Anolis sagrei: one gene and its partners. The protein of the gene in region 3 purifies or fractionates together with the protein of the main gene of each other region. This does not show direct contact. Links are inferred from orthologs where the notes say so. Each region holds a gene or a part of one and is shown on either strand. Other genes may lie near its edges.

What was found.
Region 1: the proteins of RMND5A (region 3) and MKLN1 purify together in Homo sapiens (affinity purification with mass spectrometry; 4 studies listed by BioGRID and IntAct, counting the BioPlex papers as one, with this or other methods). This does not show direct contact. The link is inferred for Anolis sagrei from reciprocal best matches to the Homo sapiens genes RMND5A and MKLN1.
Region 2: the proteins of RMND5A (region 3) and SKI purify together in Homo sapiens (affinity purification with mass spectrometry; 3 studies listed by BioGRID and IntAct, counting the BioPlex papers as one, with this or other methods). This does not show direct contact. The link is inferred for Anolis sagrei from reciprocal best matches to the Homo sapiens genes RMND5A and SKI.
Region 4: the proteins of RMND5A (region 3) and RANBP9 purify together in Homo sapiens (affinity purification with mass spectrometry; 9 studies listed by BioGRID and IntAct, counting the BioPlex papers as one, with this or other methods). This does not show direct contact. The link is inferred for Anolis sagrei from reciprocal best matches to the Homo sapiens genes RMND5A and RANBP9.

The regions. Positions count from the first base shown.
Region 1 is NC_090025.1:190,751,795-190,759,503, forward strand, and holds the start of MKLN1 (muskelin), read left to right. Parts: upstream 1-4,703; 5' UTR 4,704-4,720; coding exon 4,721-4,857; intron 4,858-7,709. UniProt on the Homo sapiens protein: Component of the CTLH E3 ubiquitin-protein ligase complex that selectively accepts ubiquitin from UBE2H and mediates ubiquitination and subsequent proteasomal degradation of the transcription factor HBP1.
Region 2 is NC_090033.1:1,176,632-1,183,794, reverse strand, and holds the start of SKI (ski oncogene), read left to right. Parts: upstream 1-4,157; 5' UTR 4,158-4,513; coding exon 4,514-4,951; intron 4,952-7,163. UniProt on the Homo sapiens protein: May play a role in terminal differentiation of skeletal muscle cells but not in the determination of cells to the myogenic lineage. Functions as a repressor of TGF-beta signaling.
Region 3 is NC_090026.1:52,496,213-52,503,689, forward strand, and holds the start of RMND5A (E3 ubiquitin-protein transferase RMND5A), read left to right. Parts: upstream 1-4,467; 5' UTR 4,468-4,625; coding exon 4,626-4,767; intron 4,768-7,477.
Region 4 is NC_090024.1:80,067,058-80,073,972, reverse strand, and holds the start of RANBP9 (ran-binding protein 9), read left to right. Parts: upstream 1-3,915; 5' UTR 3,916-4,243; coding exon 4,244-4,694; intron 4,695-6,915. UniProt on the Homo sapiens protein: May act as scaffolding protein, and as adapter protein to couple membrane receptors to intracellular signaling pathways. Acts as a mediator of cell spreading and actin cytoskeleton rearrangement.

The DNA of each region.
Region 1 (7,709 bases), on a different chromosome or scaffold from region 3:
TATTTCCAAAACAACAAGCAAGCTGCTTGTGCAGATAGCACACCCACTAATCTTGCATGAGATAAAATGTGCACTTGTCTGTCTCTTTCGGTTTCTCTGTTCAAGCTTTGTAGAGCTGCTGCTGCTGCTTTGGCTTTCTGTGCCCGCTCCTTCCTTGGCTCATCAGCTGAGTCATGTCTTTAGAGAGATCTCCATCACGAAGGAGACACAAAGCTCTTCCTTGAAATCCCTGGTTGCCTGTCAGCTGCCACAATCAGGATCGTCTCCAAAGCAAAACAGTTTCCTTCTAGAACAGACGTGGGCAAACTTTGGCCCTCCAAGTGTTTTGGACTTCAAATCCCACAATTGGGATTTGAAATCCAAAACACCTGGAGGGCCAGAGTTTGCCCACGCCTGTTCTAGAAGGTGGTTTGGCATCTATTCATTTATGAAACTCTGTTCTTAGTATGTTGAGATGAGATATTGCATATATTTCTCAACTTTTATTTCTCATCTCTCTAATCTATCCAGCCTCTGCTTAAAAGCCTTCTCTGGAGGATTTTAAGCAAAGGCTGGATAGCCATCTGTTGGGAATGCTTTGATTGTGTCTTCCTACTGGAAGAAGAGGGTCAGACTGGATGGCCCTTGAAGTCTCTTCCAATTGTATGAATCCCATTATAGGGTAACTTTAGCATCACCATAAACTACAAATGGCCTGAAGACACACATCACCACCATTGTATCTCAATCTCAATATATTTGAATGACAAAATTAAACTATAGCTCTCAGTATCTTCACTAAAGTAAAAATTAAACTATAGAAGGTTCTCAGTATCTTCACTAAAGTAAAAAACTGATAGAGTACTTGTAATATGGAATAACTAAGCCAGATATGGAGCTCATAGATTATTCTGTATCTGTTGCAATATAGTCTGAGGCTGATAGATTCATCAATTATTTAGAGGGGATAGTGGGATTTCTTGTGGGATTTCCTGGGGCACAAAGTGATGAAGATTCAAGCCAGGGAAATGATGGTTCTCTCTGGGAAAAATCTGACTCAGAAAGTGCAAGACTTCAAGGTCAGTCAGAGGAGCCAGAAACCACAACATTAGACAAGGAGTTGTGTGAAGAGCTAAGTGATATGGTAGGCTCCCAGAGAAAAACACCTGGGGTTACAGAGATCAACAAAAGTCTTCATTTACAGATTAGAGCAGAAAATAGGCAGCACCATTCAGAGCGATTATGTGGGAAAGTTGGGGAAATATTTATGGGGAAAGGAAAGATTTCATGGCTTTCTATTAATTAACAAGTTGTTTACCTAAGGCAGTGGTTCTCAGTCTGTGGGTCCCCAGGTGTTTTGGCCTACAACTCCTAGAAATCTCAGCCAGTTTACCAGCTGTTAGGATTTCTGGGAGTTTAAGGCCAAAAACATCTGGGGAGCCACAGGTTGAGAACCACTGACCTAAGGGTTAGTTCAGGCAACCTAGCATTCGAGTGAGAAGCTAGGCCTGAGTTCTCTGGTTCTTGTTTCAAGTCAAGCCTTGGTTTTGGATTTAAGTATCCTGGAAGTTTTCTATGTTCTTCTTTTTGTATTCCTGCTCAAGTTTACTAAGTATACCTTTTGCTTGTGGACTTATGCTGTACTTGTGGGCTATTCCTGTGTTCCTTTGGGATCTGCATGAGGCATTTGGAACACTGTTTGGTTATCACCTATTGCTAACCCCTTTTTAGGTTATACATCTTCCTTCATTATTCCTGACTTTTCATATATTTTTATGTGTTTTTACAATAAATTGTTTGCTTATGTTGTGGACTCTTGTGTGATGCTGTGGTCTTAGGTGTTTTCAGTCCCGGGCTGCAACAGCATCTGGTTCCAGAACTGGTCTTAGCAAATGTCTTACAGGCATCTGGTATACACATGCTTCACTCCACTCTTCTGTGCCTGGTTTCAATTTGGTTTATGTGCCACCATGCCTTATACTTGCATATTCTGCTGGCTTTAGTCACTGTTTTAGTGCATCATGGCTCTGCTATGTATTTTTCAGAGTCCCTGCATCGTCCAGAGAGTTTTGATTAGTGCCCTGAAAATCAGTTGGCCTGCTTAACCGCTGTGAGAACAGCTTGATTGACTTAATAGAGTCTGCATCTGATTTAACACTTCTCAAAAAGTTCATAACCCAGACTTTTATCTGCAGAAGTGATGGAATAAGCCCAAAGTCCAATTATTTGGTAAATAAAAATGTAATGTTCGTTCGTGGGATTAAAAGAACTTAAAAACTACTGGATGAATTGACACCAAATTTGGACACAAGATACCTAACAACCCAATATATGTCCTTCACTCAAAAAATTGATTTTGTCATTTAGGAGTTGTAGTAGCTGGGATTTATAGTTCACCTACAATCAAAGAGCATTCGGAACCCTACCAACGATGGAATTGAACCAAACTTGGCACACAATTCTCCCATGACCAACAGAAAATACTAGAAGGGCTTGGTGGGCAGTGTCCTTTGGTTTTGGAAGTTGTAGTTCACCTACATCCAGAGAGCACTGTGGACTCAATGATGGATCTGGACCAAACTCTATACGAATACTCAATATGCCCAAACGTCGACGCTGGTGGAGTTTTGGGAAAATAGAATCTTGACATTTGGGAGTTGTAGTTGCTGGGATTTGTAGTTCACCCACAATCACAGAGCATTCTGAACCCCACCAACGATAGAATTGGGCCAAACCTCCCACACAGAACACCCAAGACCACCAGAGTGGGCCACAGCAACGCGTGGCAGGGGATGGCTAGTATAATATATAATAATAATATTGTAATATAGCAATACTAATATATTAAACATAATTAGTTCTGATACTATATAATAATATATAATGATATACTGTTCTATTATTGTATATTTGTATATTTGAAGTTGTAATGTTTTTGATCGTGAGTCTCCGTATGGCAAGATAAAGAAGGATATCATAGAATCATAGAATCATAGAATCAAAGAGTTGGAAGAGACCTCATGGGCCATCCAGTCCAACCCCCTGCCAAGAAGCAGGAATATTGCATTCAAATCACCCCTGACAGATGGCCATACAGCCTCTGCTTAAAAGCTTCCAATGAAGGAGCCTCCACCACACTCCGGGGCAGAGAGTTCCACTGCTGAACGGCTCTCAGAGTCAGGAAGTTCTTCCCAATGTTCAGATGGAATCTCCTCTCTTGTAGTTTGAAGCCATTGTTCCATTGCATCCTAGTCTCCAAGGAAGCAGAAAGCAAGCTTGCTCCCTCCTCCCTGTTGCTTCCTCTCACATATTTGTACATGGCTATCATATCTCCTCTCAGCCTTCTCTTCTTCAGGCTAAACATGCCCAGTTCCCTAAGCCGCTTCTCATAGGGCTTGTTCTCCAGACCCTTGATCATTTTAGTCGCCCTCCTCTGGACACATTCCAGCTTGTCAATATCTCTCTTGAATTGTGGTGCCCAGAATTGGACACAATATTCCAGATGTGGTCTAACCAAAGCAGAATAGAGGGGTAGCATTACTTCCTTAGATCTAGACACTATGCTCCTACTGATGCAGGCCAAAATCCCATTGGCTTTTTTTGCCGCCACATCACATTGTTGGCTCATGTTTAACTTGTTGTCCACGAGGACTCCAAGATCTTTTTCACATGTACTGCTCTCGAACAAAAATAAATAGTTGTGAACAGCCCAACTTGCTAAACTCTTGGCAGTTGGCCACGGTAGTACACGCTTTGGTTACATCCCGCTTAGACTACTGCAACGCTCTCTACGTGGGGTTGCCTTTGAAGACTGCCCGGAAGCTGCAGCAAGTCCAACGTGCGGCAGCCAGATTACTAACGGGAGCAGGGTACAGGGAGCACACCACTCCGCTGTTACGCCACCTCCACTGGCTGCCAATTAGCTTCCGAGCACAATTCAAAGTGCTGGTGTTGACCTATAAAGCCCTAAACGACTCCGGCCCTGTTTACCTCTCCGAACGTATTCTCCCCTACGAACCATCAAGATTATTAAGATCATCTGGAGAGGCCCTGCTCTCGGTCCCACCGGCCTCGCAAGCGCGCCTGGTGGGGACGAGGGACAGGGCCTTCTCGGTGATGGCCCCGCGACTTTGGAACTCTCTCCCTCTGGAGGCCAGAACCGCCCCATCCATCCTAACATTTAGGAAACGGGTGAAGAGGTGGCTGTGGAGTCAGGCCTTCGATGAATGAGACAACACCATAGGACCCTGGATGGAAGTTGATGTAGATCCATCTTAATAGGACGACTGACCACTGTAGTTTTATATATAGTGTTTTTAAAGTTGTTTTTGTAATTTGTGATATATGATATTTTAATGAATGTATATGTTTTTTATGGCTGGAAACCGGGCGGAGTCCCTCAATGAGGTTGAGAAGCTCGGTATAGAAAACTGTGAAATAAATAAAATAAATAAGTTGAATAGCCCTGAGCATCCAAAATGCGCTGCGGGCCCTTTAAGAGCAGCCATTTGCTCCCCTTTGCTCTCCATCCAGTTTCCCTCCCCTCTTTGAAAGAGATAGTTAAAATTTACAAAAACTTCCGGCTCCCAAGCGACGCTCTTTAAAGGTCTTGCGGGTTTATATGTAATCTTGGAATAGGAGGAGGTCAACACAAGGCGATGGGGAACCGGACGTGTCGTCTCGCGCATGCGCAATGCCGACGCTCCGTTGCTTCTCTAGCGGATCCTCTTTTGATGACAAAATGGCGGCGGCAGCGGCGTCGGCGGCGGGCCCTCCCGGTTTAGGCTTCGATTTCGGCCCGAACAGCGCCCTCGAGAGCCGCGCCTTGGCCTACACGTTGCACCGATGGAGCAGCTTCTCCTCCACTTATTTGCCGGAGTGAGTCGAGGGGGAAGGGCCGAGGAGCGAGGAGGAAGTCAGGGGAAGGCCTCGGAAGCCTGCCCCGCCCCCTCCTGAGGGGAGGCCAGGGACTAGGCCTCTAGAGCAGGCCTGGGCCAACTTGGGCCCTCCAGGTGTTTTGGACTCCAACTCCCACCATTCCTAACAGCCTACTACAGTTGCCAGAAGCCCCCAGCCTGCATTTGCAGGCTGGGGGCTTCTGGGAACTGTAGTAGGCTGTTAGGAATGGTGGGAGTTGGAGTCCAAAACACCTGGAGGGCCCAAGTTGGCCCAGTCCTGCTCTAAATTGAATGCACTTTGACACCACTTTGAACTGCCATTCCCCAATGCTGTCCTATCCTAGGACTTACAGTTTGGTGAAGCAACCTTGGGAAACTACATTTCCCAAGATTCCATAGCATTCACCCATAGCAATTAAAGGTGTGTGTGTGTGTCTCGAACCTCATTATTTTCCCAACCAAAAGAGATGCCATAACAAAAAGGAATATTACAGGTGGGGCCTTTTTGTATCAGGAATCTTGGCACCCTAAATTCAGAGTGGCGTTGAACTGCATTAATTCTACAAATAAGACTTTATATGTAACCAAAGGACATTTAACCAACTACCAAACTCACAAGTTTTGTATTTGTCTGTTTGTTCTGTTACAAATGTAATATAATGGACTGGTTGCTCTGACACAACAAATAAATAAATAAATAAATAAAATTTGTAACCCACCCTATCTCCCCAAAGGGACTCAGAGCAGATTTCAACAAACAAACGATAAACATTCAGTGTATTGTATTGTCGAAGGCTTTCATGGCCGGAATCCATGGGTTGTTGTAGGTTTTTCCGGGCTATATGGCCATGTTCTGGAGGCAATTTTTCTCCTGACGTTTCTCCTGCATCTATGGCAAGCATCCTCAGAAGTATGGCAGCGGCCAAACACGAATCAAGGAACATGAAAGGCACTGCAGACCACTTCACCCAGAGAAGTCAGCCATAGCAAAGCACCTGATGAATCAACCTGGACACAGTATATTATTTGAGAACACAGAAATGCTGGACCACTCTCACAACCACCATGTCAGACTACACAGAGAAGCCATTGAAATACACAAGCATGTGGACAATTTCAACAGAAAGGAGGAAACCATGAAAATGAACAAAATCTGACTAGAAGTATTAAAACACTCTAAAATTAGAACAGCACAACAACAGAGAGGAAACAAACAAGGACATCTAATCACCTCTCAACAAAAGATTGCTCCAGGGACTGCCAGGCATTCAAATGCTAATCAAGGTGGTCAGTTAAAATATTCACACCTAGCTCCAACATAGAATCATAGAGTTGGAAGAGACCTCATGGGCCATCCAGTCCAACCCCCTGCCAAGAAGCAGGAATATTGCATTCAAATCACCCCTGACAAATGGCCATCCAGCCTCTGCTTAAAAGCTTCCAAAGAAGGAGCCTCCACCACACTCCGGGGCAGAGAGTTCCACTGCTGAACGGCTCTCACAGTCAGGAAGTTCTTCCTAATGTTCAGATGGAATCTCCTCTCTTGTAGTTTGAAGCCATTGTTCCGCGTCCTAGTCTTCAAGGAAGCAGAAAACAAGCTTGCTCCCTCCTCCCTGTGGCTTCCTCTCACATATTTATACATGGCTATCATATCTCCTCTCAGCCTTCTCTTCTTCAGGCTAAACATGCCCAGTTCCCTAAGCCGCTCCTCATAGGGCTTGTTCTCCAGACCCTTGATCATTTTAGTCGCCCTCCTCTGGACATTTTCCAGCTTGTCAACATCTCTCTTGAATTGTGGTGCCCAGAATTGGACACAATATTCCAGATGTGGTCTAACCAAAGCAGAATAGAGGGGTAGCATTACTTCCTTAGATCTAGACACTATGCTTCTATTGATGCAGGCCAAAATCCCATTGGCTTTTTTTGCCGCCACATCACATTGTTGGCTCATGTTTAACTTGTTGTCCACGAGGACTCCAAGATCTTTTTCACACGTACTGCTCTCGAGCCAGGCGTCCCCCATTCTGTATCTTTGCATTTCATTTTTTCTGCCAAAGTGGAGTATCTTGCATTTGTCACTGTTGAACTTCATTTTGTTAGTTTTGGCCCATCTCTCTAATCTGTCAAGATCGTTTTGAATTCTGCTCCTGTCCTCTGGACTATTGGCTATCCCTCCCAATTTGGTGTCGTCTGCAAACTTGATGATCATGCCTTCTAGCCCTTCATCTAAGTCGTTAATAAAGATGTTGAACAGGACCGGGCCCAGGACGGAACCCTGCGGCACTCCACTTGTCACTTCTTTCCAAGATGAAGAGGAAGCATTAGTGAGCACTCTCTGTGTTCGTCCACTTAACCAATTACAGATCCACCTCACCGTAGTTTTGCCTAGCCCACATTGGACTAGTTTCCTTGCCAGAAGGTCATGGGGGACCTTGTCGAAGGCCTTACTGAAATCCAGGTACGCTACATCCACGGCATTCCCTGCATCTACCCAGCTTGTAGCTCTATCGAAGAAAGAGATCAGATTAGTCTGGCATGACTTGTTTTTGATAAATCCATGTTGACTATTAGCGATGACTGCATTTGTTTCTAAGTGTTTGCAGACCACTTCCTTAACAATCTTTTCCAGAATCTTGCCCGGTATCGACGTGAGGCTGACCGGACGGTAGTTGTTTGGGTCGTCCTTTTTTCCCTTCTTGAAGATTGGGACCACATTGGCCCTCCTCCAATCTGCTGGAACTTCTCCCGTTCTCCAAGAACTCTCAAAGATGGTTGCCAATGGTTCCGAAATGACTTCAGCTAGTTCCTTCAATACTCTGGGGTGTAGTTGAT
Region 2 (7,163 bases), on a different chromosome or scaffold from region 3:
CTCTCACAACCACCATGTCAGACTACACAGAGAAGCCACTGAAATCCATAAACATGTCGATAATGTCAACAGAAACCATGAAAATGAACAAAATCTGGCTGCCAGTAGTAAAACAAATATGTCTAAAATCAGGATAGTAAACAAAGAACAACAATCAGAGTCAGCTAACACCTCTCAAAAAAGGATCCCTCCAAGAACGCTGCAATTCAATGCCATTCAATGCTCCACGAAGGCAGCAGGCAGCAATCAGCTGCAAGGCCATTCAATGCCAATTGCAACATTCACACTTGCCTCCAGCAGACAAGAGTTCTTTCTCTCACCCTGGACATTATTCCATAGATATATACACCACTCTTGGGTTTGGAGTCTAGTGTCTAGATCTAAGGAAGCCATGCTCCCCATGCTCTATTCTGCTTTGGTTAGACCACACCTGGAATATTGTGTACAATTCTGGGCACCACAATTGAAGAGAGATATTGGAATGTGTCCAGAGGAGGGCAACTCAAAGGATCAAGGGTCTGGAGAACAAGCCCTATGAGGAGCGGTTTAAAGAGCTGGGCATGTTTAGCCTGAAGAAGAGAAGGCTGAGAGGAGATATGATAGCCATGTATAAATATGTGAGAGGAAGCCACAGGGAGGAGGAGGGAGCAAGCTTGTTTTCTGCTGCCCTGGAGACTAGGACACAGTGGCTTCAAACTACGATTTGATGTTTAATTGTTGATGATGCTATTGTTTTAACTGTCCCATAATCCTTTTATGATATTTTGCATTGTATTTTTGCTGCTGTTAACCGCTTTGAGTCGCCTGAGGGCTGAGAAAAGCGGTATATAAATGAAGTAAGTAAGTAAATAAATAAATACTAGGGCTGGGCGGTTTCGTTCGTTAATTTCGTACTTTGTTAATAATTCATATTTAAATTGGTTTACGATCCGATATTGAACCATTCAGGAGCAACTAAAAATCGAAACGAATTTTTAAAATTTATTTCGTAATTGTTTCGTAATTGTTTCGTTATTATTTCCGTATGTCTGGTGCAAGTTTTATAGTTGTTGTTTGTTTTATCAGTGATAAAAAAATAAATTATTTCACCAACAGTCAACAACAGAGGGAGAGGGAAGCTTCAGAAATTCCCCCTGTCCCATTTGGAGGGTTTTTTAGCGTATTGTGCAATCGCGTCCGCCATTAACGAATCGATTCGTTATTGTTTCGAAATTGTTTCGTAATTTCCGAAATTTCGTAAATTTTGAACTTTTTTAAAGAAAAATTTCAGAATTTTTTAAAAAAACGAAATGCAACCCCCCCTAAAAACGAATCGAGTTTAGAAACAAATTTTTTCGTGGTTGCCCAGCCCTAATAAATACAAGAAAGGAGATTTCATCTGAACATGAGGAAGAACTTCCTGACTGTGAGAGCCGTTCAGCAGTGGAACTCTCTGCCCCGGAGGGAGTGTGGAGGAGGCTCCTTCTTTGGAAGCTTTGAAACGGGCTGGATGGCCATCTGTCGGGGGTGCTTTGAACGTGATTTTCCTGCTTCTTGGCAGAACGGGGTTGGACTGCATGGCCCATGAGGTCTCTTCCAATTGTATGATTCTAAGAATCTTGCCTTGCTTCCAACAAACCTCACAACCTCTGAGGATGCCTGCCATAGATGTGGACGAAGCGTCAGGAGAGAATGCTTCGGGAACATTGGACATAAAACCTGGAAAACTCACAGTAATGTTTGGATTGTTGTCGGTTTTCCGGGCTATATGGCCATGTTCCCGAAGCATTCTCTCCTGACGTTTGGCCTACATCTATGGCAGGCATCCTCAGAGGTTGTGAGGTCATGATGTTTGGTTAACTAGAAAGCAATACGCTTGATGGTCACGAGGGGGCAGACATGATCCATTTTTATATGTCTTCATTGATAATAATATCATAATATATAATCCCTATTCACAAGCCAAACTGAGAGTCTAAAGTTTCAGCCAGGTTAGATGTTTGATTTGTGAAATAGTTGACTGTGTAGTTGTTTTGAATGGGGAGGCAATCCTCAAATCTGAATTGAAAATATCTGAGCGCTTGCTAGATTATAAAACTTACAGTTTTTATATCTAGGGACGGGATTGGGTGGAGGAGGAATTCAACCTTTGGCCTTAAAACTAAAGAGAAAGGCTGAGAAAAGGAGCCTAACGCGCCCGCCCGCCCGCCTTTCCTTCCCCGGCGGAGCCTCCTGTGAACCAAAAACTTTATCAAACGTTCGAACCAGTGCGCATGCGCGCCTGTATATTGGCTTGTTGCTGAGAGTGGCGAGGAGGGAGGGAAGAGGAGGAGAGGGCGGAGCCTCACCCAGGCCCCGCCCCCTATCGGAAGAAGCCAGATTTTGGGAGGGAGGAGGAGGAGTGCAGTTAAGGCCACGCCCCCTTTCTCGTAGCGTGCACGCGCTGTCGCCCCGAGGAGAGGGAGGCGGAGGGGAGAGTTTGGAGAAAGAGGAGGAGCACAGCGCACAGGCCACGCCCTTTTCCCGTGGTGCGCACGCGCCGAGGGCTGCCCGCCGAGAGGGAGGCGGAGCATTGCCGAGGCTCCGCCCTTGCTCCGCCCTTTTATTGAGTGGGAAAGCGGCGGAACGGAGGCGGAGCGATTAACAAAGCCCCGCCCCTCAAGCCGCCAGGAGGGAAGGGGGCGGAGCACAATTCGAGACCACGCCCCCATATTTTGCTCCGCCCGCTTTTGCGTAGCGGAGGGAAAGGAGGCGGAGCGAACCTCGAAGCCCCTCCGCCATGCAAAAGGGGCGGGGCGATGGCTCAGTGACAGGGAAGGGGGAGGGAAGGGAGGCGGAGCGAACCACGAGGCCCCGCCTCCTTTTGCGAGGCCGGGTGTTTAGCGGGAAGGCGTGGCTTAACACGAGGCTCCGCCCTCCTCTCCTTTTGCTAGGCCGTGTGTTCAGAGGGAAGGCGTGGCTTAATACCAGGCCCCGCCCTCTGCCTGCCCCTTTTGCGAGGCCGGGTGTTCAGAGTGACGGAAGGCGCTCCATCTAGTAGCCCCGCCTCCTTTTGTATTAGGGAGGAGGTGGAGCGAGACAAGAGGCCACGCCCCTTACGCAAAGAGTAACAGGGAAGGCGGGGCCGAACTTGAGGCTCCGCCCCCTCCCAAAGGAGTGAGAGAGGGAAGTCTGAGGAAAGGGAGGCGGAGCGAGACAAGAGGCCACGCCCCTTACGCAAAGAGTAATAGGGAAGGCGGGGCCGAACTTGAGGCTCCGCCCCCTCCCCGAGGTGTGAGAGAGGGAAGTCGGAAGTAAGGGAGGCGGAGCGAGTCAAGAGGCCACGCCCCTTAAGTATAGAGTAACAGGGAAGGCGGGGCCGAACTTGAGGCTCCGCCCCCTCCCAGAGGAGTGAGAGAGGGAAGTCTGAGGAAAGGGAGGCGGAGCGAGACAAGAGGCCACGCCCCTTATGCAAAGAATAATAGGGAAGGCGGGGCCGAACACGAGGCTCCGCCCCCTCCCAGAGGAGTGAGAGAGGGATGTCGGAGGAAAGGGAGGCGGAGCGAGACAGGAGGCCACGCCCCTTACGCAAAGAGTAATAGGGAAGGCGGGGCCGAACTTGAGGCTCCGCCCCCTCCCCCGAGGTGTGAGAGAGGGAAGTCGGAAGTAAGGGAGGCGGAGCGAGAGAAGAGGCCTCGCCCCTTAAGTATAAGGCGGGGCCGAACACGAGGCTCCGCCCCCTCCTCGATGAGTGAGAGAAGGAAGTCGGAGGAAAGGGAGGCGGAGCGAGAGAAGAGGCCACGCCTCCTACGCACAAGGAGGCGGGGCGACGTCTCATCTTCTAAGCTGTCAAGAAGAGTAACAGGGAAGGCGGGGCCGAACACGAGGCTCCGCCCCCTCGAGCTGTGAGGGAAGGAAGTCGGAGGAAAGGGAGGCGGAGCGAGAAAAGAGGCCACGCCCCTTACGCAGGGAGTAACAGGGAAGGCGGGGCCAAGAAGAGAGAGGAGTGAGGGAGGGAAGTCGGAGGGAAGGGAGGCGGAGCGGGAGAAGAGGCCACGCCCCTTACGCAAAGAGTAACAGGGAAGGCGGGGCCAAGAAGAGAGAGAGGAGTGAGAGGGACGTTCGAGCGAAGGGAGGCGGAGCTGAGCACTAAGCCCCACCCCTTTCTTGCTCCGCGCGTGCGCAGACGCAGCGGCAGCATCTCGGCGCCGGAGCTCCCCTCAGTCTGTCCGGAGCGGGCGTCGGAGGAGGACGTGAGGCGGAGGAGAAGGAAGAGAGAGAGGGGGCGACTCTCCGTTATTTACCTCAGGATTTCCCAATTGGACCCGGCTTCTTCTTCTTCTTCTTCTTGTATTATTATTATTTTTTGAGGGGATTGTTCAATTTCGGAGTGTGCCTGGCGATGTTTTTTTCCCCGGTGAAGGCCGCGTGAGGAGAACTTGGATCATGAGAAGGAGGCGCTGAGGGTGAGGATGGTGAGGCGAGGCCGCGGCCTGTGAAGGAGTGAGTGGAGCCTCCCGCCTGGCCGGCCTTGCTCGCTGCCTCTGCCCCGAAGATGGAGGCCGTGACGCGGGGGGGCTTCCACCCTCACCCGGGCTTGCAGAAGACGCTGGAGCAGTTCCACCTCAGCTCCATGAGCTCCCTGGGCGGGCCGGCCGCCTTCTCGGCCCGCTGGGCGCAGGAGATCTACAAGGGGGGAGGCGGCGGGGGAGGCCCCGGGAAGGAGGGCGCGGAGCTGCTGGCTCCCCCTCCGCCGGCGCCGCCCTCGGGCCCCTTCTTCCTGCCCTCGGACCGCTCCACGGAGCGCTGCGAGACCGTGCTGGAGGGGGAGACCATCTCCTGCTTCGTGGTGGGCGGAGAGAAGCGCCTCTGCCTGCCCCAGATCCTCAACTCCGTCCTGAGGGACTTCTCCCTCCAGCAGATCAACGCCGTCTGCGACGAGCTCCACATCTACTGCTCCCGGTGCAACGCCGACCAGCTCGAGATCCTCAAGGTAAGGACGCGGAGAAACCTCCGCCAGGCCTGGGCCCACTTGGGCCCTCCCTCCAGGGGGTTGGGACTACAACTCCCACCATTCCTAACAGCCTACTACAACTCCCACCATTCCTAACAGCCGGGCCCTCCCTCCAGGGGGTTGGGACTACAACTCCCACCATTCCTAACAGCCTACTACAACTCCCACAATTCCTAACAGCCGGGCTCTCCCTCCAGGGGGTTGGGACTACAACTCCCACCATTCCTAACAGCCTACTACAACTCCCACCATTCCTAACAGCCGGGCCCTCCCTCCAGGGGGTTGGGACTACAACTCCCACCATTCCTAACAGCCTACTACAACTCCCACCATTCCTAACAGCCTACTACAACTCCCACCATTCCTAACAGCCGGTAGGCTGTTAGGAATGGTGGGAGTTGTAGTAGGCTGTTAGGAATGGTGGGAGTTGGAGTCCCAACCCCCTGGAGGGAGGGCCCAAGTGGGCCCAGGCCTGGCACATTGCAATATTATACATTGGATCCTTGCTACTACAATATTATCATCATTATATTGTATTATTATTACATAATAATAATTGTATTATTATATTGTATTATTAGTACTATGTTATATTATTCTTGTTATTCTTATGTTGCATTATTAGTGTTATATATCAATATTATTGTATTATTAATATGACATTATTCTTGTATTAGCATTATATTACTATAATATTTCTATTATTATATTGTAATAGTATCATGTTATTTTACTATTCATCTTAATAATACAATAATATTAATATGACATTATTCCTGTATTAACATTATAGTACTATAATATTTCTATTATTATATTGTAATAGTACCATATTATTATATTATTCATATTAATACAATAATATTAATATGACATTATTCTTATATTAGTATAATATTACTATAATATTTCTATTATTATATTGTAATAGTATCATATTATTATATTATTCATATTAATAATACAATAACATTAATATGACATTCTTGTATTAGTATAATATTACTATAATATTTCTATTATTATGTTGTAATAGTACCATATTATTATAATATGGTACTACAACATAATACAAATAATATAGTAATATAATGCTAATACAAGAATAATGTCATATTAATAATACAATAATATTAATATATAACACTAATAATACAATACAATATAATAAAATGGTACTATTACAATGTAATACTAGAAATATTATAGTAATATACAAGAATAATGTCATATTAATATTGTATTATTAATATGACATTCTTGTATTAGCATTATAGTACTATAATATTTCCATTATTATATTGTAATAGTACCATATTATTATATTATTCATTTTTTATTATATTTTGTATTGTGTTATTAGTATTATATATATTATTGTATTAGTAATATTACATTATTCTTGTATTAGCATTATATTACTATAATATTTGTATTATTCTATTGTATATTAGTACTATATTATTATATTATTCTTGCATTATTATTATATTGTATTGTTAGTATTATACGTTATTCTTCTATTAGCATTATATTATTATATTGTATTAGTATTATATATTAATATAATATATTGCTATCCTGTAATATTATTAGTAACATTGCATGTATTATACAATATATTACATTATGAGCAATGCACAATATTAGTATGCTATCTTACTATGTTTTACTATACCACTATACTGCAATTTGATTAGTAGTATTATATGTAACATAATATACAATTATTATATTGTATTATTAGGATTATATTGTATTGCATTATGATAGCATCAATATTATATGTGTGTACAATATATTATGAGCATAGCATATAATATACAGTTATTATTAATATTATATTAAATTATAGTATTATCAATATTAGATGTATATAAAATATATTATGAGCACAGCACAATATTAGTATGGTATATTACTATATTGTAATATACCACTATATGGCAATATTCTTACTAATATTGCATGTAACATATAATATACCATTATTATATTGTATTATAATTAATATTATATTATTAGCATAGCACAATATTAGTATGATATAATACTATATTGTATTTTTTCACTTTATTGCAATATAATTAGTAATATTACATGTAATGTATAATATGCAATTATTGTATTATATTATAGCACAATAAATATAAACTCTCAGTATTTTATAGTTATTATTATAAAATATATT
Region 3 (7,477 bases):
GTGAGGCCCACAAGCTGTTTTTCTATCGCTAGCCAGCAAGCGACGGAAGTTAAACCAATGGCGGGAAGACCCCGAGGAGTCACTTCCGCTTTCCAGCCTGTGTTTACTCATTAGACCTCACATATAAACAAACAACACCCCCCCCCCCCTTTTTCCCACACTGTCTGTCAAAGCTCTTGACGCAAAAAGTCCGAAATGGGCAGGCAATGAGGGACTCCAATTGGAGGCCAGTCTTAGGTGCCTGAGTTAATGCCTGACTTGAATACGCAGAGATGTGTTTATCTAGTGTAGAACAATAGACTGAAGTGTAGATTCACACACAGTTCTCCACTTTTGGGTTCATTGAAAGGACTTTCCAACTGAAATTATCCTACACTTTGGGATTTCCCTGATATGGGCAAACTTCTGCCCTCCGGGTGTTTTGGACTTCTAGATTATTGATGTGGCCATACCAGGTGACAGTTGCATTGAGGAAAACCTCATCCGTTATCAGGACCTCAATATTGAACTGCAAAGGCTCTGGCATAAACCAGTACGGGTGGTCCCAGTGGTCACTGGCGCACTGGGTGCCATGCCAAAAGATCTCAGACGGCATTTGGAAACAATTAACATCGACAAAATCACGATCTTTCAACTGCAAAAGGCCACCTTACTTGGATCTGCGTGCATCATTCGGCAATACATCACACAGTCCTAGATGCTTGGAAAGTGTTCGACTTGTGATTTTGAGATACGAAATCCAGCATATAGATCTCGTTTGCTGTGACATACTGTGCTTTTGTGTCAGTATAATAATAATAATAATAATATTTATTTATACCCCGCCACCATCTCCCCAAAGGGACGGCTTACATGAGGCCAAGCCCAATAATACAATTACAATAAAATGGGTTGTAGGTTTTTTCGGGCTGCATGGCCATGGTCTAGAGGCATTCTCTCCTGACGTTTCGCCTGCATCTATGGCAAGCATCCTCAGATAATGTTTTAATGTGTATGGTGCTGATATTTTAATCGTGTAATGAAGTGGCATTGTGTTGTTATTGTATATTTTTTGTATGTTAACACATGTTGTGAACCGGTCCGAATCCCTCTTTGAAGGTGAGAGGGTTGGTATATAAAACCTCGAAATAAATAATAATAAATCAGAGGTAGTGAGGTCTGTTGGAACTAGGAAAAGGGGTTTATATCTGTGTGGAATGACCAGGGTGAGACGAAGGACACTTGTCTGCTGGAGCTAGGTGTGAATGTTTCAACTAACCACCTTGATTAGCATACAATGGGCTGACTGTGCCTCGAGCAAACTTTTGTTGAGAGGTAATTAGATGTCCCTGCCTGCTTCCTCTCTGTTGTTGTGCTGTTTCAATTTTAGAGTTTTTTAATACTAGTAGCCAGATTGTGTTCATTTTCATGGTTTCCTCCTTTCTGTTGAAATTGTCCACATGCCAATAATACAATTACAATAAAATGAATACAAAACTGCAAAAATTGTTGTTGTTGTTCATTCGTTCAGTCATCTCCGACTCTTTGTGACCTCATGGACCAGCCCACGCTAGAGCTCCCTGTCGGCCGTCACCACCCCCAGCTCCTTCAAGGTCAGCCCAATCACTTCAAAGATGCCATGCATCCATCTTGCTCTTGGTCGGCCCCTCTTCCTTTTGCCTTCCACTTTCCCAGGCATAATTGTCTTCTCTAAGCTTTGCTGTCTCCTCATGATGTGGCCAGAGTACATCAACTTTGTCTCTAGTATCCTTCCCTCCAATGAGCAGTCGGGCTTTATTTCCTGGAGGATGGACTGGTTGGATCTTCTCGCAGTCCAAGGCACTCTCAGAACTTTCCTCCAACACCACAGCTCAAAAGCATCGATCTTCCTTCGCTCAGCCTTCCCTAAGGTCCAGCTCTCACATCCGTAGGTTACTACAGGGAATACCATTGCTTTAACTATGCGGATCTTCGTTGCCAGTGTGATGTCTCTACTCTTTACTATTTTATTGAGATTGGACATTGCTCTCCTCCCAAGAAGTAAATGTCTTCTGATTTCCTGGCTACAGTCTGCATCTGCAGTAATATTTGCACTTAGAAATACAAAGTCTGCCACTGCCCCCACGTTTTCTCCCTCTATTTCCCAGTTGTCAATCATGCTTGTTGCCATAATCGTTTTTTTAATGTTTAGCTGCAACCCAGCTTTTGCGCTTTCTTTTTTCACCTTGATTAGAAGGCTCCTCAGCTCCTCTTCTCTTCTGGCTATCAAAGTGTTATCATCTGCATATCTAAGGTTGTTAATGGGTTGTTGTAGGTTTTTCGGGCTATATGGCCATGTTCTAGAGGCATTCTCTCCTGACGTTTTGCCTGCATCTATGGCAAGCATCCTCAGAGATAGTGAGGTCTTTTGTAACTAGGAAAATGTGTTTATATATATGTGGAATGAGCAGGGTGGGACAAAGAACTCTTGTCTGTTGGAGCTAGGTGTGAATGTTTCAACTGACCACCTTGATTAGCATTTGATGGCCTGGCAGTTGTTTGGTGTGGCTTGTTGGTGCCCGGGGCAATCTTTTGTTGAGAGGTGATTAGATGTCCCTGATTGCTTCCCTTTATTGTTTTGCTGTTGTAATTTTAGTGTTTTTTAATACTGGTAGCCAGATTTTGTTCATTTTCATGGTTTCCTCCTTGAACTAAATCTGGCTACCAGTATTAAAAAAACTCTAAAATTACCACTGCAAAACAACAGAGGGAAAACAATATCACCTCTCAACAAAAGATTGCCCCCAGGCACCAACAAGCCACACCAAACAATACAATAATTAAAATGAAGAACAATTTTAACAAATATAAACTTATTAGTATTTCAATGGGAAGTGTGGGCCAGCTTTTGGCTGATGAGATAGGATTGTTGTTGTGTGCTTTCAGGTCATTTCAGACTTAGGTTGACCCTGAGCGAGGGCCGGGTAAATGACCTTGGAGGGCCGTATTCGACACCCGGGCCTTAGTTTGAGGACCCCTGCTCTAGAACATGGCCATACATCCCGAAAAGACCTACAACAACCTCGTGATTCCGGCCATGAAAGCCTTCGAAAGTAAGGTTAATGTTTCTTCCAGCAATTTTAACCCCAGCCTTGCATTCCTCAAGCCCCGCACATTGCATGATATGTTCTTGCTATAAGTTGAATAGGTTGGGTGAGAGTATACAACCCTGCCGTACCATGGTCAGTTCGTATTGTTGCTACTTGGTCCTTATAAACGTCCCCGGCCCAAATTACCTGTCCAAACGAATCTCCCTCTATGTACCATCGCGGAGAATAAGATCCTTCGGGGAGGCCCTGCTTTCCATCCCGCCATTGTCACAGGCGTGATTGGTGGGGACGAGAGACAGGGCCTTCTCGGTGATAGCTCCCCCGCCAATGGAACTCCCTTCCTTGTGAGATCAGGTCAGCCCCCTCCCTCCTGTCCTTTAGAAGGATGGTAAAAACTTGGCTGTGGGACCAAGCTTTCGGGACAGGGCAATGAAGCAACAATGGGAAAGATGACAGGGCCAGTTGGATTTGATGCGGATGGCTAGGACGGTTTTAAAATGTGTTATTTTAAATGGTGTATTTTAATATTTGTTGATGTTCATTCGTTCAGTCGTCTCCGACTCTTCGTGACCTCATGGACCAGCCCACGCCAGAGCTCCCTGTCGGCCGTTACCACCCCCTCAAGGTCAGTCCAGTCACTTCAAGGATGCCATCCATCCATCTTGCCCTTGGTCGGCCCCTCTTCCTTTTGCCTTCCACTTTCCCCAACATAATTGTCTTCTCTAGGCTTTCCTGTCTCCTCATGATGTGGCCAAAGTACTTCAACTTTGTCTCTAGTATCTTTCCCTCCAGTGAGCAGTCGGGCTTTATTTCCTGGAGGATGGACTGGTTGGATCTTCTCGCAGTCCAAGGCACTCAAGCTCCAGCGCCCCGGCAAGGCGGTGATCCTTTGCTGGAGATTTTAATATTTAGATAAATGATATTTAGATAAATGTTTTTTAATGTTTATGTATTGTATCCAGGCATTGAATGTTTGCCATGTATATGCTGTGCTCCACTCTGAGTCCCCTTTGGGGTGAGAAGGGCAGAATATAAATGTTTTAAATTGATAATAATAAATTATACAGATTCCTCAGGAGAGAGACAAGGTGATTCGGTATGCCCATACCACCAAGAACTTGTCACAAATGTATTATGATCCACATAGTCAAAGGCTTTAGAATAGCCAATAAAACAGAAATAGATGTTTTTCTGAAACTCCCTTCCTTTCTCCATTATTCAGTGAATATTGGCAATTTGGTCTCTCGTTCCATAAACAGTGCCCATAAGCAGTGGGAAAAATACTCCAAATACACCCGGAAGCATTCTCTGTGAGCTAAGCAATGCGTTTCTCTACAACTTCCTAGATCTATGAGTCAGCGTCCAATCAAACAGCACGGCTGAGGAACTCGGGGTTGTTTTTCGGCGCCGCCTGTGACGCAGCGCCAGCCCTGCTCGGGAAAGGACCCCGCTCGTCTATTGCGCTGCCTGCAAAAACAACCCCCACCACCAGCCCGGGTTGGCCTCGGGGTCTGTTTGCGGGAGCTCCGTGGGCCGGAGCGGCGGGAAAAAGTGGCCATGGACCAGTGCGTGACGGTGGAGCGCGAGCTGGAGAAGGTGCTGCAGAAGTTCTCGGGCTACGGGCAGCTCTGCGAGCGGAGCCTGGAGGAGCTGATCCAGTACGTGGCCGGACTGCGCCGCGAGATCCTCCAAAGCGAGAGTAGGTGCCCCCTCCCCTCCTCCCCCCCTCCGGTTGCCCTTGGCAACGAGGCCTACCTGTGGTCAGTCTCTCCTGGGAGCCCGGCGTTTGCGCTTCACTTGGTCAACGTGTCTTTGAAGAGAGGTTGGCGGGAAGGAAACTTCACTTATGGCTCGTTTGCATCAGCCTTCAAAGGGCCCTCAACTAGACTATACTTTTTGTCCATAGTGGTCAGTTCTCTTTAGTTTTGACCCAGTTTGCGTCCCCAGGTGTTTTTGAAGGCTAATTCCCATCCCTTTACATCAGTGTTTCTCAACCTGGGGGTCGGGACCCCTGAGGGGGTCGCGAGGGGGTGTCAGAGGGGTCGCCAAAGACCATAAGAAAACACAGTATTTTCTGATGGTCATGGGGATTCCATGTGGGAAGTTTGAGCCAATTCTATGGTTGATGGAGTTCAGAATGTTCTTTGATTGAAATGAACTATAAATCCCAGCAACTACAACTCCCAAATGTCAAGATCTATTTTCCCCGGACTCCACCAGTGTTCACATTTGGGCATATTGAGTATTCATGCCAAGTTTGGTCCAGATCCACCATTGCATGAGTCCACAGTGCTCTCTGGATATAGGTGAACTACAACTCCCAAATTCAAGGTCAATGCCCATCATAGAATCATAGAATCTAAGAGTTGGAAGAGACCTCATTGGCCATCCAGTCCAACCCCCTGCCAAGAAGCAGGAACATCGCATTCAAATAACCCCCGACAGATGGCCATCCAGCCTCTGTTTAAAAGCTTCCAAAGAAGGAGCCTCCACCACACTCTGGGGCAGAGAGTTCCACTGCTGAACGGCTCTCACAGTCAGGAAGTTCTTCCTCATCTTCAGATGGAATCTCCTCTCTTGTAGTTTGAAGCCATTGTTCCGCGTCCCAGTCTCCAGGGAAGTAGAAAACAAGCTTGCTCCCTCCTCCCTGTGGCTTCCTCTCACATATTTATACATGGCTATCATATCCCCTCTCAGCCTTCTCTTCTTCAGGCTAAACATGCCCAGCTCCTTAAGCCGTTCCTCCTAGGGCTTGTTCTCCAGACCTTTTATCATTTTAGTCGCTCTCCTCTGGATACATTCCAGCTTGTCAATATCTCTCTTCAATTGTGGGGCCCAGAATTGGACACAATATTCCAGGTGTGGTCTAACCAAAGCGGAATAGAGGGGTAGCATTACTTCCTTAGATCTAGACACTATGCTCCTATTGATGCAGGCCAAAATCCCATTGGCTTTTTTTGCCGCCACATCACATTGTTGGCTCATGTTTAACTTGTTGTCCACAAGGACTCCAAGATCTTTTTCACACGTACTGCTCTCGAGCCAGGCATCCCCCATTCTGTATCTCTATCAAACCCTTCCAATGTTATTCATTGGTCATGGGAGTCAAGTTTGGTTCAAATCCATCGCTGGTGGAGTTCGGAATGTTCTTTGATTATAAGTGAACTATAAATCCTAGCAACTACAACTACCAAATTACAAAATCAATCCTCGCCCAACCCCACTAGCATTCACATTTGGGTGTATTGGGTATTTGTGCCCAGTTTGGTCCAGTGAATGAAAATGCATCCTGCATATCAGATATTTACATTATGATTGATAACAGTAGTAAAATGACTTATGAAGTAGCAATGAAAACAATATTATGGTTGAGGGTCACCAGAACATGGGGGACTGGATTAAGGGGTCACGCCATTAGGAAGGTTGAGAACCACTGCTTTACATTGTCCGCCATACAGACTGAGGAGAATGGGAATTGCAACCCAACAACACTTGTGGCTGTGCGGTTAGGGGGAAAGGTCAGAGGACATTTTAAAGCCCAGCATCATTTTTACTATTTACTAGCCATCCCCTGCCACGCATTGCTGTGGCGGCCCACATCGGGGTTCTGTGTGGGAAGTTTGGCCCAATTCTATTGTTGGTGGGGTTCAGAATGCTCTGTGATTGAAGGTGGACTATAAATCCCAGCAGCTAGAACTCCCAAATGTCAAGATTCTATTTTCCCCAAACTCCACCAGTGTTCACATTTGGGCATATTGAGTATTCGTGTAGAGCAGGGATCCACGAACTTTTAAAACAGAGGGCCAGGTCACAGTCCCTCAGACTGTGGATGGCCGGATTATAATTTGGAAAAAAAGAATGAATTCCTATGCACACTGCACGTATCTTATTTGTAGTGCAAAAAACACTTTAGAACAGGGGTCCTCAAACTAAGGCCCGGGGGCCAGATGCGGCCCTCCAAGGTCATTTACCCAGCCCTCGCTGAGGGTCAACCTAAGTCTGAAACGACTTGAAAGCACACAACAACAACAATCCTATTTCATCAACCAAAAGCTGGCCCACACTTCCCATTGAAATACTAATAAGTTTATATTTGTTAAGATTGTTCATTTTAATTATTGTATTGGTTTCTAATTGTTTTTTTGCACTACAAATAAGATATGTGCAGTATGCATAGGAAGTCATTCATGTTTTTTCAAATTATAATCCGGCCCTCCAACAGTTTGAGGGACTATGACCTGGCCCTCTGTTTAAAAAGTTTGGGGACCCCTGCTTTAGAACAATACAATAATTAAAATGAAGAACAATTTTAACAAATATAAACCTATTAGTATTTCATTAGGAAGCGTGGGCCTGTTATTGGCTGATGAGATAGGATTGTTGTTGTTGTTGTGGTTGTGTGCTTTCAA
Region 4 (6,915 bases), on a different chromosome or scaffold from region 3:
ATCCAAGGAGAAGCAAGTTTGTAGCTTGGAAGCAGTGCATTTGGTGCACCCTCCTCTCCTAAAGGACTTGGGATGCTGGGAGTTGTCATTGACACGCATGCGTTGTATTGTCATTTACTTTTTTGGGGTTTTTAGGTCCTTTCTGCTGTTTTTTTGGGAGAGGTTTATGAGTGATGGTCACTCGTTGGTTTGGTAGGGGTGTAGTGTCCAAATTTTGTGTCAATCCGTCCAGTGGTTTTTGAGTTATGTTAATCCCAAACAAACATCACATTTTTATTTATATAGATTATTATTTATTATTCAAACTGGTTTACAGTAAAACCATTGCAATACAATTTAAAATGTAAAAATATACAAACATTAAAATAGAATAAAATATTAATGGTATTAAAATAGAAAAAAATCAATTATATTAAAAACAAACAGTTAAACTGTGTAAGAACCCAATCCTATCTCCCCCCTGATTGAACTCTACAATGAACTCTCAGACCCCTTCTACACTGCCAGATTATCTGCTTTGAACTGGATTATATGGTGGTGTAGACTCATACAATCCAGCGCAAAGCAGATAATGTGGATTATTTGCTTTGATAACTTGAATTATATGGCAGTGTAGAGGGGGCCTCAGTTAACTGGTGAAAAAAATCAAATAAATATTATTTTAAATAATAAAAAGCGGTTTTTATAATACAGTAAAACTGTGTTAAATTAAGTTTGTTTTAGGACCTCATCACACTGTGTTACTTTTGTACTAGTGATATTTTCATGTTCAGGGAGAGAGAGAAAACATGTAAAATGGTATGCTCTCCCCTGTGCTGCCTCTAATGGCAAAAGAGTGAGCAGAGTCCTATTTTGCACCAATATAGGACAACATACTGTACTATATGTTATTTGAAATACCAGTTGGTGGTAAATCAGCAGAAGGACAAGTTTTCCCTACCTATTACTGACATTGTAACTGAAGCCTACTGTATTGTCTCAAGGTTTCAAGTGGAGGAATGTTATAAGCTTAAGTGGAAAAAAAACCCTTCTTCACTTCATTCAGGATCTGTCTATACAGCCAGGCCTCCACATTTGCTGGGGTTAAGGCCACAGGCCTCACGTGAAAGGGAAAACCCATGAATAAAGAAGAGATTCCCAGGGAGATAGTTTTTAATCTGATGCATGAATTGAATAACCAACTCCGCAAAAGTCAAAATTGCAAATGTGGAGGAATGACAGTGTGCATGCATGCATTTTCCCATTCTGTATGTATATATGTATTCTATGATATACACACACACATATTTTGTGTACAGGTAGTCCCCAAATTACGAACAAGATAGGTTCTGTAGGTTTGTTCTTAAGCTGAATTTGTATGTAAATCAGAACAGGTACATTTTAAAGTGTAATTCCAGCCAAATATACATATTGTTTAGTTTGGATAGAATAGTGAAGGGTTGACGTCCCTGTGGTGCTTGTTTTGTTGCCTGTGTCCCTGTTCAGAAAATTTCACCTCACTTTCTGCCCCTGGAATAGTTGGATTTTGAAAAATGTGGCTTTGTAGAAATAAGGATGCGTGAGAAAGCTTCAGTAGAGACACATTTCTACCATGATAATAGCTCTTCCAGGAGTGAATTTCCCTTTCTGGGGACAGATTTCTCTCACTTCCTGTTGTCTTGGCCCTGTTCTTAACTGTGAGTTGTTTATAAGCCAGATGTTTGTAACTTGGGGACTGCCTGTGTGTATGCATATGTGTGTGTGTGTATATACACATACATACATAGGTAAAGGTAAAGGTTTTTCCCTGACATTAAGTCTAGTCATGTCCGACACTAGAGGGTGGTGCTAATCTCCATTTCTAAGTCGAAGAGCCGATGTTGTCCGTAGACACCTCCAAGGTCATGTGGCCAGCATGACTGCTTGGAGCACCGTTACCTTCTCGACGGAGCAGTACCTATTGACCTACTCATATTTGCATGTTTTCCAACTGCTAGGTTGGCAGAAGTTGTGGTTCATAGCAGGAGCTCACACTGCTACTCAGATTTGAACCGCTGACCTTTTGGTCAGCAAGTTTAACCCACTGTGCCACCAGGGGCTCCATATATGTACACACACACACATATATATATCTTCATGTACACACATACATATATGTACATATAAATGAGAAAAAGCAAAGAGATATGCAAACTCAGCCCCACTTGTTGCAAAATTTTTGCAAACAACACAAGTCTCTTCTCATTCAGAATATATACTTACTTATTTAGGTGACCTGTCATTGGGCGAGTAGGATAGTCTTCCAGGATCAGTATTCTTGTGGATCCGTAGGTGACTGTGGAGCCCTATTCTTGACCTGCATCTTTTCCCACAGTGAGGGCATTGGTTTCCAGGTGGAAGGCGGTCTCGGTCAGGGTTGGCGTGACACATCTTCCTCTTGGTACGTTTCTCTCTTTCACCCTCCATTCATGCCTCTTCAAATTCTGCAGCACTGCTGGTCACAGCTGACCTCCAGCTGGAGCGCTCAAGGGCCAGGGCTTCCCAGTTCTCAGTGTCTATGCCACAGTTTTTAAGGTTGGCTTTGAGCCCATCTTAAAATCTCTTTTCTTGTCCACAAACATTCTGTTTTCCGTTCTTGAGTTCGGAGTAGAGCAGCTGCTTTGGGAGACGGTGGTCGGGCATCCGGACAACGTGGCCGGTCCAGTGGAGGACCATCGCTTCAATGCTGGTGGTCTTTGCTTCTTCCAGCACGCGGATGTTTGTCCGCTTGTCTTCACAAGAGATTTGCAGGATTTTTCAGAGACAGAGCTGATGGAATCATTCCAGGAGTTACATGTGACATCTGTAGACAGTCCACGTCTTGCAGGCATATAGCAGGGTTGGGAGGACAACAGCTTTATAAACAAGCCCCTTGGTATCCCTACGGATGTCCCGGTCCTCAAACACTCTCTGCTTCATTTGGAAAAATGCTGCACTCGCAGAGCTCAGGCGGTGTTGTATTTCGGTGTCGATGTTGACTTTGGTGGAGAGGTGGCTGCCAAGGTAGCGGAAATGGTCAACATTTTCTAAGCTGTATCTCTGGCATTGGAGAGGGGTTGGCTGGTGACGTGGACTGTCTACAGACGTCACATGCAACTCCTGGAACGATTCCATCAGTGCTATTTCTGGAATAGGAAAACTCCAGCATTATGTCCCTGAAGCACTTTATTACAGTTGTAAGATTCTCTGCACATTGCACTTGTCCTGAAATCCAACATACCACCTGTCACACCCAGCACTTTTTAATCTGTACCCATTACTTGGCCTGGCCCTAGTTTTTACTGTGTTATGGTGTAACGTTTTGTTGTTATTGCTTTATGTTTTTGATTTGCTTTGAGTTGTATTTGTTATGCTGTTGTTGTGTTGAGGCCTTGGCCTTTGTATGCCGCATCGAGTCCTTCGGGAGATGCTAGCGGGGTACAAATAAAGTTTAATAATAATAATAATAATTGGTTGGTGTCTGCTCGAACAGCACTTTGGTTTTCTTAATGTTCAATGACAGGTCGAGTTTCTCGTATGCTTCTGCAAAGGTGTTTATATATACAGAATATAAAGAATATATATACAGTATACATACACATTTCTGAATGAAAATATACAGTATACACACACATATATTCTGAATGAGAATATATATATTGCACACACACAAACCTACACACATATATATGTATGTACACACATACATATATATATATATTCTGAATGAGATGAGGCTTGTGTCGTTTTCAGAAGTTTTACAAGTGGGGCCAAGTTTGCACACTTCTTTGCTTTTTCTCATTGACTAAAGCGCGCACCCGCCCTCTCTCCACTTTCCAGGACCGCGCCGACGTCACCGCGCCTGCGTGTGCGCGCGCGTAATAGCACTGTCCTACCTACCAGCAGCAGCAGAGACAGCAGCCTTCTTTCCCCTCAGCTCGAGCGGAGCCGCGTTCGTCTCGAGGGTGGGTGCGCGCGCCCTCACTCACTAACTCACTCACTCGCGCGCCCGTTCCCTCGCGCCGCCAGCTCATGTCGTCACCGCCGACGTCATCCTCCCCGCCTTTCGTCACTTCCAACCCCTTCTTCCTCGTCCTCGCGCGAGCTCAGTTGCTTTCCGTCAGCCGAGGCAGCCGCGACTCCTCCTCCTCCTCTTCTCCCCCCTCAGACTGTCACTCCGGTTTCGGGCTGTTCTCCGTGTAGACACCCTTTCCTCCCCTTGCCGTCGAGGGCGGACGAGGCCGGCATGTCCGGGCAACAACAACAGCAGCAGCAGCAGCAGCCTCCGCCACCGGCCACGGCTCCCCCTCCTCCTCCTCCCCCGCCGCCTCCTCCGCCGCCACCTCAAGCGCCGGCCCACACAGGCCCGTCCCCGCTGCTGCTTCACCCGCCGCCGCCACCTCCGCCCGCCACCTCGGCCCCGCCGCCGCCTCCTTCTTCGGCCTCCTCGTCTTCCGCCTCCATGGCAGCCGGGAGCGGGGCCCCGTCCGCCTTCCCTCACGGCGGCGGCGGCGGCGTTGGCGTTAGCGTCGGGGACCCGGCCCTGAACGAGCAGGAGAAGGAGCTCCAGCGCCGCCTCAAGCGCCTCTACCCGGCCGTGGACGAGGGGGAGACGCCGCTGCCCCGCTCCTGGAGCCCCAAGGACAAGTTCAGCTACATCGGCCTCTCGCAGAACAACCTGCGCGTCCACTACAAAGGTGAGCAGCCAGCCCAAGGCCCAGGAGCAGGCCCGGGACCAGGCCCCGGAAGGAGGGAGGGAGGGAGGGCGCGCTCCCCTCTCCCCCCCCCCGCGCGTGCACCCCGATTTCCAACAATGCTGCCCCCTCCCTTTCTTCTTCAATACATAGCAGTTTCCCCCTCCCTCTCCTTCTCTCCTTCGGAGGACAATAGTCACCCCCCCCCCCCTTCTCACACGGATCCCCTCTTCCATTTTGGGCCTTCCTGCCTCCTTCCTCGGCCTCGGGTGGGATTTTGAGCAATCTGGCCTGTTCTCTAGGAAACTAGGCCTGGGATTATTGTTATTCCCCTTTCGCGTTAAACCAGATCCTTCTGCCTCTGGTCTTAATAGGGTATGAAAGAGAAATGGGGTGGGATCTGTGGCGTTAATCTCTGCGGTTATTTCCTCCCCTTTAATAAGCATATACAAGTTTGTGTGTGTGTTTATATATATAAATATATATATGTATCCTGTGTATGTGTTTATATATCTATATCTTAGTATATATTCTCTGTGTGTTTGTGTATTGTGTATCTATGTCTATATCTTAGTAGCATATATGTGTGTTTATATATACATACATACATACATATATATACATACATATATATGTTTGTATACTGTATAACATATTCCTTACTATCATAGATAGATAGATGAGTATATACCAGTAGTATATAGATGATAGATAGATGAGTATATACAAACTTTGGCCCTCCAGCTGATTTGGACTTCAGCTCCCATAATTCCCATAAATGTTTTGAAGTCCAAAATGCCTGGAGGGCCAAAGTTTGCCCATGCCTGGTATATACTGTATATATGATATTCCTGTCTTAATCATATGTGTGCGTGTGAATATATTCATGTTTATTAGTAGCATATGTGTGTGTGCAGTGTTCCTTTCTTTGTCTGTGTGTGTATACAATCCTTAGTAGCACATATTTGTGAATGTGTTTATCTGTATTCCTTTCCTAGTAGCACTTATTTGTGTGTATATATATTTATATTCCTTTCTTAGCATATATTTGTAAGTGTGTGTATATTTGTATTCCTTTCTTAGCATATTTTTGTGAGTGTGTGTATATCTGTATTCCTTTCTTAGTAGCATATATTTGTGAGTGTGTGTGTGTATGTGTGTATATATATATATATATCTTAGTAGCATATTTGTGTATACACACACTCCTTGGTAATGTGTGTGTATTTGTGTATTCCTTCCTTAGTAGCATCTTGCGAAGAAGCTCACATAGGGGAACGGAGGGAGGGGGAAATGTGGAAAAATAGAACAACAGGAAGTAACTCTCATTGGGTCTTCTGAACAGTTTCGGAAACCCAAGTGGAGACAATCCGACTTTATCCCTCCCTCTGCGATTGCTTCTCTCCACCCATCAAACATGTAAGGATGTTTTGCTTTCTGCTTTGGGTTAGAGGAGGATATATAAACTGGCAGGTTTTCTGCTGCCCGCCTGATCAGTTCTCTTGCTAAATCACAGCTTGGGGTCAGGGGAGGAGAAAGCAAGCCAGTCAGTGTGACGTGTCCAATTAAAAATAACCAGTTAGGGCAAGGAATGTGTGTTTGTTTAGCAAGAGAGCAAAGGTCAGCTGAAGTTGGAAGAACAAATGTAGGAGAAGAAAGGTTTTTGAGGAGAAAGGTTAGAGAACCATTGTTTATTTCTGGGAATTTTGTCTATGGCATTGTGCTTGCTTATGAACAATACAATTCAAAGTTCAGTCAATGTTAGTTCTTCAATTTCAGATTCCCCTGTATTTTAATCTAATCTTCCCCATAAATTTCATGAGTCAATAATGGAGAAAGTAAATTTCATATCAAGGAAACTGAATTATCCACTCTGCTGGGATTTCTTGCCTCACATAGTATTTTCCTTTTATATGTGTAGCAAAAATGATGTGTATAAATAGGACCAAATAGGCAACAACTGCCAACTACTTGCCTTACAACTATGATAGTAAAGCCCAAAGAACACAAATGAATACAAACCTGGAAAGCACACATCCAGATAATCTTCTGAGTTATGAAAGGCAGGCTTTGGTAAAATTGTCTAATGAGTATAGGAAAGGATGGGAGACAGAGCCAATGTGTTGTTCTTGTCCAGAGTACAAAATGATGTCATTCAAGTCAGTTTTTCATAAACTCGAGTCTTTGCTCAAAGCACAGTTATCCTTCCTTATCCATGGATTCA